Anolis sagrei: one gene and its partner. The protein of the gene in region 2 purifies or fractionates together with the protein of the main gene of each other region. This does not show direct contact. Links are inferred from orthologs where the notes say so. Each region holds a gene or a part of one and is shown on either strand. Other genes may lie near its edges.

Evidence for each region.
Region 1: the proteins of STRADB (region 2) and CAB39 purify together in Homo sapiens (affinity purification with mass spectrometry; 3 studies listed by BioGRID and IntAct, counting the BioPlex papers as one, with this or other methods). This does not show direct contact. The link is inferred for Anolis sagrei from reciprocal best matches to the Homo sapiens genes STRADB and CAB39.

The regions. Positions count from the first base shown.
Region 1 is NC_090023.1:228,951,691-228,955,609, reverse strand, and holds the start of CAB39 (calcium-binding protein 39), read left to right. Parts: upstream 1-922; 5' UTR 923-1,131; intron 1,132-3,919. UniProt on the Homo sapiens protein: Component of a complex that binds and activates STK11/LKB1. In the complex, required to stabilize the interaction between CAB39/MO25 (CAB39/MO25alpha or CAB39L/MO25beta) and STK11/LKB1.
Region 2 is NC_090021.1:164,586,753-164,590,671, reverse strand, and holds the start of STRADB (STE20-related kinase adapter protein beta), read right to left. Parts: upstream 2,761-3,919; 5' UTR 2,623-2,760; intron 294-2,622; 5' UTR 249-293; coding exon 237-248; intron 1-236. UniProt on the Homo sapiens protein: Pseudokinase which, in complex with CAB39/MO25 (CAB39/MO25alpha or CAB39L/MO25beta), binds to and activates STK11/LKB1.

The DNA of each region.
Region 1 (3,919 bases), on a different chromosome or scaffold from region 2:
TCCGCCTGCGTCACAAGCGTGGCTGGTGGGGACACGAGACAGGGCCTTGTCTGTGGTGGCCCCCCCAACTCTGGAACACCCTCCCAAAAGATCTTAGACAGGCCCCTACATTGGCAGTCTTTAGAAAGAACTTGAAGACCTGGCTGTTCCGATGTGCCTTTCCAGAATAGGAATCTCCAATAACAAGTCCTCAAAGCACTTTTAGTAGAACTAAGATTATTGCACACCACACACTGCACTTGCCCTATAATCCTCGTATACCACCTGCCACATCAGCACTTTTAATCCTGTACCCATTACTCTGGCCCGGCCCAGTTTGTATTGTGTCTTGATGTACTGTTTATTGCATGTCGTCAATATTGCTTTACTGTTTCTAATTTTGCTTTTGGTGTTATATTGTTGTGTTGTGTTTTGAGGCCTTGGCCTTTGTAAGCCGCATCGAGTCCTTCGGGAGATGCTAGCGGGGTACAAATAAAGTTAATAATAATATTAATAATAATAGTGCTGACAGTTCTGGAGGGAGTCTTAATTTTTTGTGTCTAATAGACTTAGCATGGGGATTGGGTTAACCAGTTAAAATTCATGAGTAAACCATTTTTTTTTAACCTGAAAAATTGGGGGGGGGGGTGAACCCCTAACACACCAACACCCCCCCTCCCCTCCAGCTACAGGCCTAGCACCTCCCTCCTAGATCTCAAACACCTTCAGATCTGAAACACCACGCCTGGTCTCGAATGACCATGGAATGCAGTTCAGCGTGGGAAACGCTGGCGGCACTTCTCCCTCCCGGCCGCAGGGGGCGGCAGAGAGCGCGCGGAATGCGCTGGCGGGCTCCCTCTTGCTTAGCCGCCTCTCGTCGTCCGCTGTCTCATCCGCTGGTATCCGCCGCCGGGAAGGGAAGGGAAGGGAAGAGCGGAGGCGCGCGGGGCGGGGGAGGGAGGGGCTAGGCAAGCAGGCAGGCAGCAAACACCAGCAGCCCGGCAGGAGAAGAGGAGGAGGAGGAGGAGGAGGGCGGCCGAGGCGTCGCGAGAAGGCCCGCAGACGACGACGACGACGAGGAGACGAGGAGGAGGAGGAAGAGAAGGCAGAAGGGAGAGGGCGCCTTTGGACGTCTCCTCGCCACCAGCGAAGGTACCGTCCTGGCTTCGGGCCTTGTGGGTGGCGTTCGCTCTGAGGGCTCGTCGAGGCCTAGTCTGGCCTCGGAAGGAAAGGGAGCGCCTCTTCCTCCTTTCGAGGACAGTAGCGGCGGCGGCGGCGGAGGAGGCCCCTTGTCTGAGGGAAAGCACAGGGTGTGTCCTCACGGGAACTTGACGCGCGTTCGGTGTCGTCACCCCTCCTCCCTCTCCCCTTCCATTAGGTAACCTTGTCTCGCCGCCGACGCTGCCAGATAACGCCGTTTGGAAAATGAACGCTAGAGACCAGGCCTGGGCCAACTTGGGCCCTCCAGGCGTTTTGGACTTCAACTCCCACAATTCCTAACAGCCGGTAGGCTGTTAGGAATTGTGGGAGTTGAAGTCCAAAACGCCTGGAGGGCCCAAGTTGGCCCAGGCCTGTGGGTCTTCCTTTAACCTTCTCCACATCCTAACTGGAACTGAGGGGATTCATAATCATAATAAATCTTCATTTATTTCCCACTTTTCTCCCACCAAGTGGCTTCCAACATGTTAAAATACAACGCAAAATCGTCAACCATCAAAGACACAAATAAAAAAACATAAGAAGCCATTAGTAAAACGTACTCCACTTTCATCTTATGCCCTTGCTTCTTAGCTACAACTTGCATTATCTCTTTCTCTTCTTCTTGTTTACAGTTGACCATGTTTTTAGGACAGTCGACACTATAGGTTATTGGGCGTCAAATTGTTGTTTTATATACTACTGGTTTATCTTGTAATGTATTGTGTGTTTGTTTTATGTGTTGTTTTAGGCACTTTGTGCCATATGTAAGCCACCCTGAATCCCTTTGGAGAGATGGAGGTGTGGTACAAAAATAAAGTTGTTATTGGGTTGTTGTTGTAGGTTTTTTCGGGCTATATGTCCATGTTCTAGAGGCATTCTCTCCTGACGTTTCGCTACATCTATGTAGACCTCACAATCTCTGAGGATATTTTTTGTTGTTGTGTCAGGAGCAACTTGAGAAACTGCAAGTTGCTTCTGGTGTGAGAAAATTGGCTGTCTGCAAGGACGTTGCCCAGGGGACGCCCGGATGATTTGAAGTTTTTATCATCCTTGTGGAAGGCTTCTCTCATGTACCCGTATGAGGAGCTGGAGCTGATAGAGGGAGCTCATCCACCTCTCCCTGGATTCAAACCTGCAACCTGTCAGTCTTCAGTCCTGCCGGCACAGGAGTTTAATCCACTGCGCCACCGGGGACTCCCATCTCTAAGGATGCTTGCCAAAGATGCAGGCAAAACGTCAGGAGAGAATGCCTCTAGAACATGGCCATACAGCATGAAAAAACCTACAACAACCCAGTGATTCCAGCCATGAAAGCCTTCGATAAAGTTGTTGTTATTATTATTATAAATATAAATTATTATAAGTAGCATTTAAAAATGCCAGGCTGTTTTCCTTCTACAGCAGCAGTTCTCGACCTGTGGGTCTCTAGGTGTATTGGGCTACTACTCCCAGAAATCCCAGCCAGTTTACCAGCTGTTAGGATTCCTGGGAGTTGAAGGCCAAAACATCTTCTACAGTGTAGACGTCCCTTTTGGTGGCGTGGAACACCCAGTGCCTCCTTCTCAGCGTTGTTGTCTTTGTGAGTGCCTCCATTTTTAAATAAACTTTCTTGGCTGAAGGAGCTCACATCTCAAAACATGTCAGGATTGAAGGAGGAAGGGAGGTGGTGAGGTGATTACTCCAAACCGGAAATATTAGTAACCTTTTCTTTCTTTCTTTCTTTCTTTCTTTCTTTCTTTCTTTCCCTCTGTTTTTTTTCAACATGGCCTTTTATACAGCCAACACCAAAGAAAAATGAAAGCCTATTTGCTTTGCTTTTGCAATACTGCATTGTCCAGGAAGAGGCCCAGTTTGAGTTAATTTCACTGCACTCTTCTGAACTGCTAGGATATTTCCATATGTATTATGAATTCTTAGGCTTGTACACTTTTTCAGTCATCCCCCCCCCCCCAAATCATTGCATCATCATAGGAAATCATAAGAGTGAAAGTAATTCCCAAGATCTTTTGGACAGTGTTGGTTTCCTTTCTATTTAATTGGCCTGTTTTATTTCGTAGCATCCCACTGTAAACTTAAGGGGGAAATGACACTTGAGTGCTCTGCAAAAATAGTATGTGATGATCAATACAAGATACTTCTTTAATTCTTGTGAAATTGCTCGAAGAATAATACTGCTGTATTAAGAATATATGTTGTTCATTTTAAGCCTTAGTTAGGTTTTCTAAATCTGAAGCCTACACAGTTAATGAAAATGTATTCCTAAATAAATTCACATGCAAAATGTTATGCAGGATTTGCTTGTTGAAGCATTCATTCCAAGATAACGTATAATGTAAGAGAAAGTTTATATTGTTTATAAACCAGCTGCTGATGTTTTAAACTGATACGTTTCTAGAGTACTAATGCAAAGTGGCTTATACATTTTTGAATCCAACTGTTTTAATACTACACAGGAATGTTCTAGATTGTCATATTATAAAATTCTGATAAAATAATGGACACTCCAAAGCACTAGTAGTAAAATTCTCATGGCTTCTAGTAGATCCCCGTGGCTATGGAAATGGGTTTTTATAACTAAATAAAGCATAATAATGTAAACATGATTTGAAATTCATCAAACTAAATTATTTAAAGTTCAGGAAGAGGAAACTTGAATATAACTATTAAAATAATGTTGTTCCAGTAAATCTGTTCTGCTTGGAACCAAGAGTTGGATTTAGTTCACAAACCTAAGTAGAAT
Region 2 (3,919 bases):
TGTCTATCAAAGGTCAAAGATATGTTTTCCATCAGTTTTTATGGATGTTAACTGCAAATTTTTAATACTATTGATATTTAATTCTGTTTTAATGTTTGTATATTTGTAGATATTAAATTGTATTAAAAAGCTTTTAATGTAAGCCGCTTTGAATCTGTGGAGAGAAAAAGCAGGGAAAATAAGCATAAGCATAAACATAATAATAATAATAATAATAATAATAATAACATGCTTACCAAGCAAGACATGGAACTGCCTTAGTGAAGGAAAAACGTCAGGCAAACCCATTTACCCTGAAACAGAAAATTAGAACAGAATCACAATCAGTCTCAAATCTCAAACATCAGCTACTGTTTTCCTAAACCAGAAACCCACATATTGTTTCCTACATAGCCAGCCTTAAATACTGCCACTCAGGTTAGAATTATTTTTTCTTGATACATTGGATTCAAATATTACAAATTAAATAGAAGAATTAATAACATCACAACAGCGTTGCCATCGTCCCACTTAATTGGCCTATTGTTAGAAAAACAATAATAGGCCTATTGTGAGAAAACAAACACCACTGTATTCATGGCATCTCATTTCTCTATAATATTGTTCTGACAAATATAGCAATCAAACCAATGTGGAAATGTATCCAGTACATTACATACAGGTGTACAACTTTCTGACCAGGGCTAAGTTCAAACCAATTTTGCAAGTTTACCTAGTACACAATCTGTCACCCAATCCACCCTCAAGAATTTTTGCAACTCTTCTAAAGGAGTGACAAACTAGCATACTTTGTTGTCATTGCTTGGTAAAAATATACCTGCAAGTACTCAAAATTAAGAACAATCTGTGACCCCTTCCACACAGCTGAAGAAAATCCTACCTTTTCTGCTTAGAACTGGGATATATGGCAGTGTGGACTCAGATAACCCAATTCCAAGCAGATATTGTGGGACTTTCTGCCTTGATATTCTGGGTTATACGGCTGTGTGGAAGGGCCCTGGGTTACCTGAATCCACACAGCTATATATTCCAGTTTGAAGCAGAAAATGTGGGCTTTTATTCAGCTGTGTAGAATGAGTATTTATCCACTGCAATCCATTTTAAAATGCTGTGACTGCCACCTGCAGAATTCTGGAGTTTGTAGTTTAGGGTGGGTCCTTTAAACTGCTCATCCTGGGCCTCCCTTCTATACTGCCATATAAAATCAAGATGCTCTGCTTTATATGGCAGTGTGGACTCAGATAATCCAGTTTAAATATAATGTGTTTTGATAACCCCAGAAGATGCAAAGAGGAAGTCAGGATAGAGGTTTAGCCTTAGTGCCCTTCCATACAGCCATATAGCCTGGAATATCAAGGCAGAAAATTGGCTTTGAACTGGGTTATCTAAGCCCACACTGCCTTATAACCCAGCTTAAAGCAGAAAATGTGGGATTTGATTCAGCTGTGTGGAAGGGGCCTGTAAGTGTATTGTATTGTCCAAGGCTTTCATGGCCGGAATCACTGAGTTGCTGTCGGTTTTTTCGGGGCTATGTAGCCATGTTCTAGAGGCATTTTCTCCTGAAGTTTCGCCTGCATCTATGGCAAGCATCCTCAGAGGTAGTGAGGTCTACTGGAACTAGGAAAGTGAGTTTATATATCTGTGGAATGACCAGGGTGGAACAAACAACGCTTGTCTGCTGGAGCTAGGTGTGAATGTTTCAACTGACCACCTTGATTAGCATTTGATGGCCTGGCAGTGCCTGGGTCAATCTTTTGTTGAGAGGTGATTAGCTGTCCCAGATTGTTTCCTCTCTGGAGTTTCCCTGTATTTGGGTGTTGTTTTGCTGTTGTAATTTTAGAGTTTTTTTTAATACTGGTAGCCAGATTTTGTTCATTTTCATGGTTTCCTCCTTTCTGTTGAAATTGTCCACATGCTTGTGTATTTCAATGGCTTCTCTGTGTAGTCTGACATGGTGGTTGTGGGAGTGGTCCAGCATTTCTGTGTTCTCAGATAATATGCTGTGTCCAGGTTGGTCCATCAGGTGCTCTGCTATGGCTGACTTCTCTGGCTGAAGTAGTCTGCAGTGCCTTTCATATTCCTTGATTCGTGTTTGGGCAATGCTGCGTTTGGTGGTCCCTATGTAGACTTGTCAACACCTGCATGGCTAATTACAACAGTAAAACAACAGAGGGGAAACAAACAAGGATATCTAATCACCTCTCAACAAAAGATTGCCCCAGGCACTGCCAGGCCATCAAGGTGGTCAGTTGAAACATTCACACCTAGCTCCAGCAGACAAGCGTTGTTTGTTCCACCCTGGTCATTCCACAGATATATAAACCCTTTTTCTAGTTCCAACAGACCTCACTACCTCTGAGGATGCTTGCCATAGATGCAGGCGGAACGTCAGGAGAAAATGCCTCTAGATCATGGCCATATAGCCCAAAAAAACCTACAACAACCCTGTAAGTGTATTGTTTCTTATGAAAAGTACTCAGATTGGCTGTCCATTAGGTGCCATTATTTCCGACGGCGCTTGCGAGCAGTCACAACTTGGCACGACCGAATAACAACAGCGTCAATAAGACATTGCATTTGAATAGGCTGGATTTTCCCGCGCTCCTCCGAGAAGGCTCCTACCTCCCTCCGCCTGGGCCTGAGGCGCGCGACGGAAGCCAGTCCCATTGGGTTCTGCGGGACTCCCCGCGAGGACGGAGGAAGCGCGGTCAGCGGGCCAAAGGGAAAGGGGCGGGGCGCTTCCTCCTCCTCCAAACACGCCCCGCCCCCTCCAACGCGGAGGGATTGGTAGAGCGCGCGCTTAAGCTAAGGGGGAAACGCACGCACTCGCTGGGAGACTACGAGCCCCAGAGTGCACCGCGGCCAGACTGTGTCGGACGAGCGCGCCTTGCCCGCCTGTTGCGCATCGGGAGTTGTAGTTGGAGGGGAAACGCGGTCTCTTCACAGCCTGGCTCCTCCCGCCGCCATCTTGGGGCCGAGCGTGGTCCCGCCCTCTCTTCTCCTCCCTTCAGAGGGTGGCAGTCGCCGCCGTCAAAGGAAGCTCAGCCGTGTTGCCGGTGAGTGCCTTCCTCCTCACTCTCGCCTTGTTGCCCTTCCTTCCTTCCTTCCTTCCTTCCTTCCTTCCTTCCTTCCTTCCTTCCTTCCTTCCTTCCTTCCTCTCCTCCATTTCTTCCCGTCCTGTCAGTGCCTCCTGCATCCTCTCCTCAGGTGGAGCATCCCTTCCCTGAAAGACTGAGATTAGGAACATCATTTTATCTGTTTCCCCCCTCTCCTGATGGCTGGAGGCGGGGTACAGCAAACCCAAAAACAAATGAGCACAAAAATACAGTAACTTACATAGATAAACTCAGACACACAAACACACACACATATATAAAAGCTAGGTAGATGCTGGGAAAGCCGTGGATGTAGCGTTTCTGGATTTCAGTAAGGCCTTCCACAAGGTCCTCCATGACCTTCTGGAAAACAGACTAGTCCAATGTATTGTCAAGGTTTTCATGGCTGGAATCACTGGGTTGTTGTAGGTTTTTTCGGGCTATATGCTGTGTCCAAGTTGGTTCATCAGGTGGTCTGCTATGCCTGACTTCTCTGGTTGGAGTCGTCTGCAGTGCCTTTCATGTTCCTTGATTCGTGTTTGGGCAATGCTGCGTTTGGTGGTCCCTATGTAGACTTGTCCACAGATGCATGGTATACGGTAGACTCCTGCAGAGGTGAGAGGATCCCTCTTGTCCTTTGCTGAACGTAGCATTTGTTGGATTTTCTTGGTGGGTTTGTAGATTGTTTGTATGTTGTGTTTCCTCATCAGCTTCCCTATGCAGTCAGTGGTTCCGTTGATGTATGGCAGGAACACTTTTCCTCTACAGCAGTGTTTCTCAACCTGGGGGTCAGGACCCCAGTGGGGGTTGCAAGGGGGTGTCAG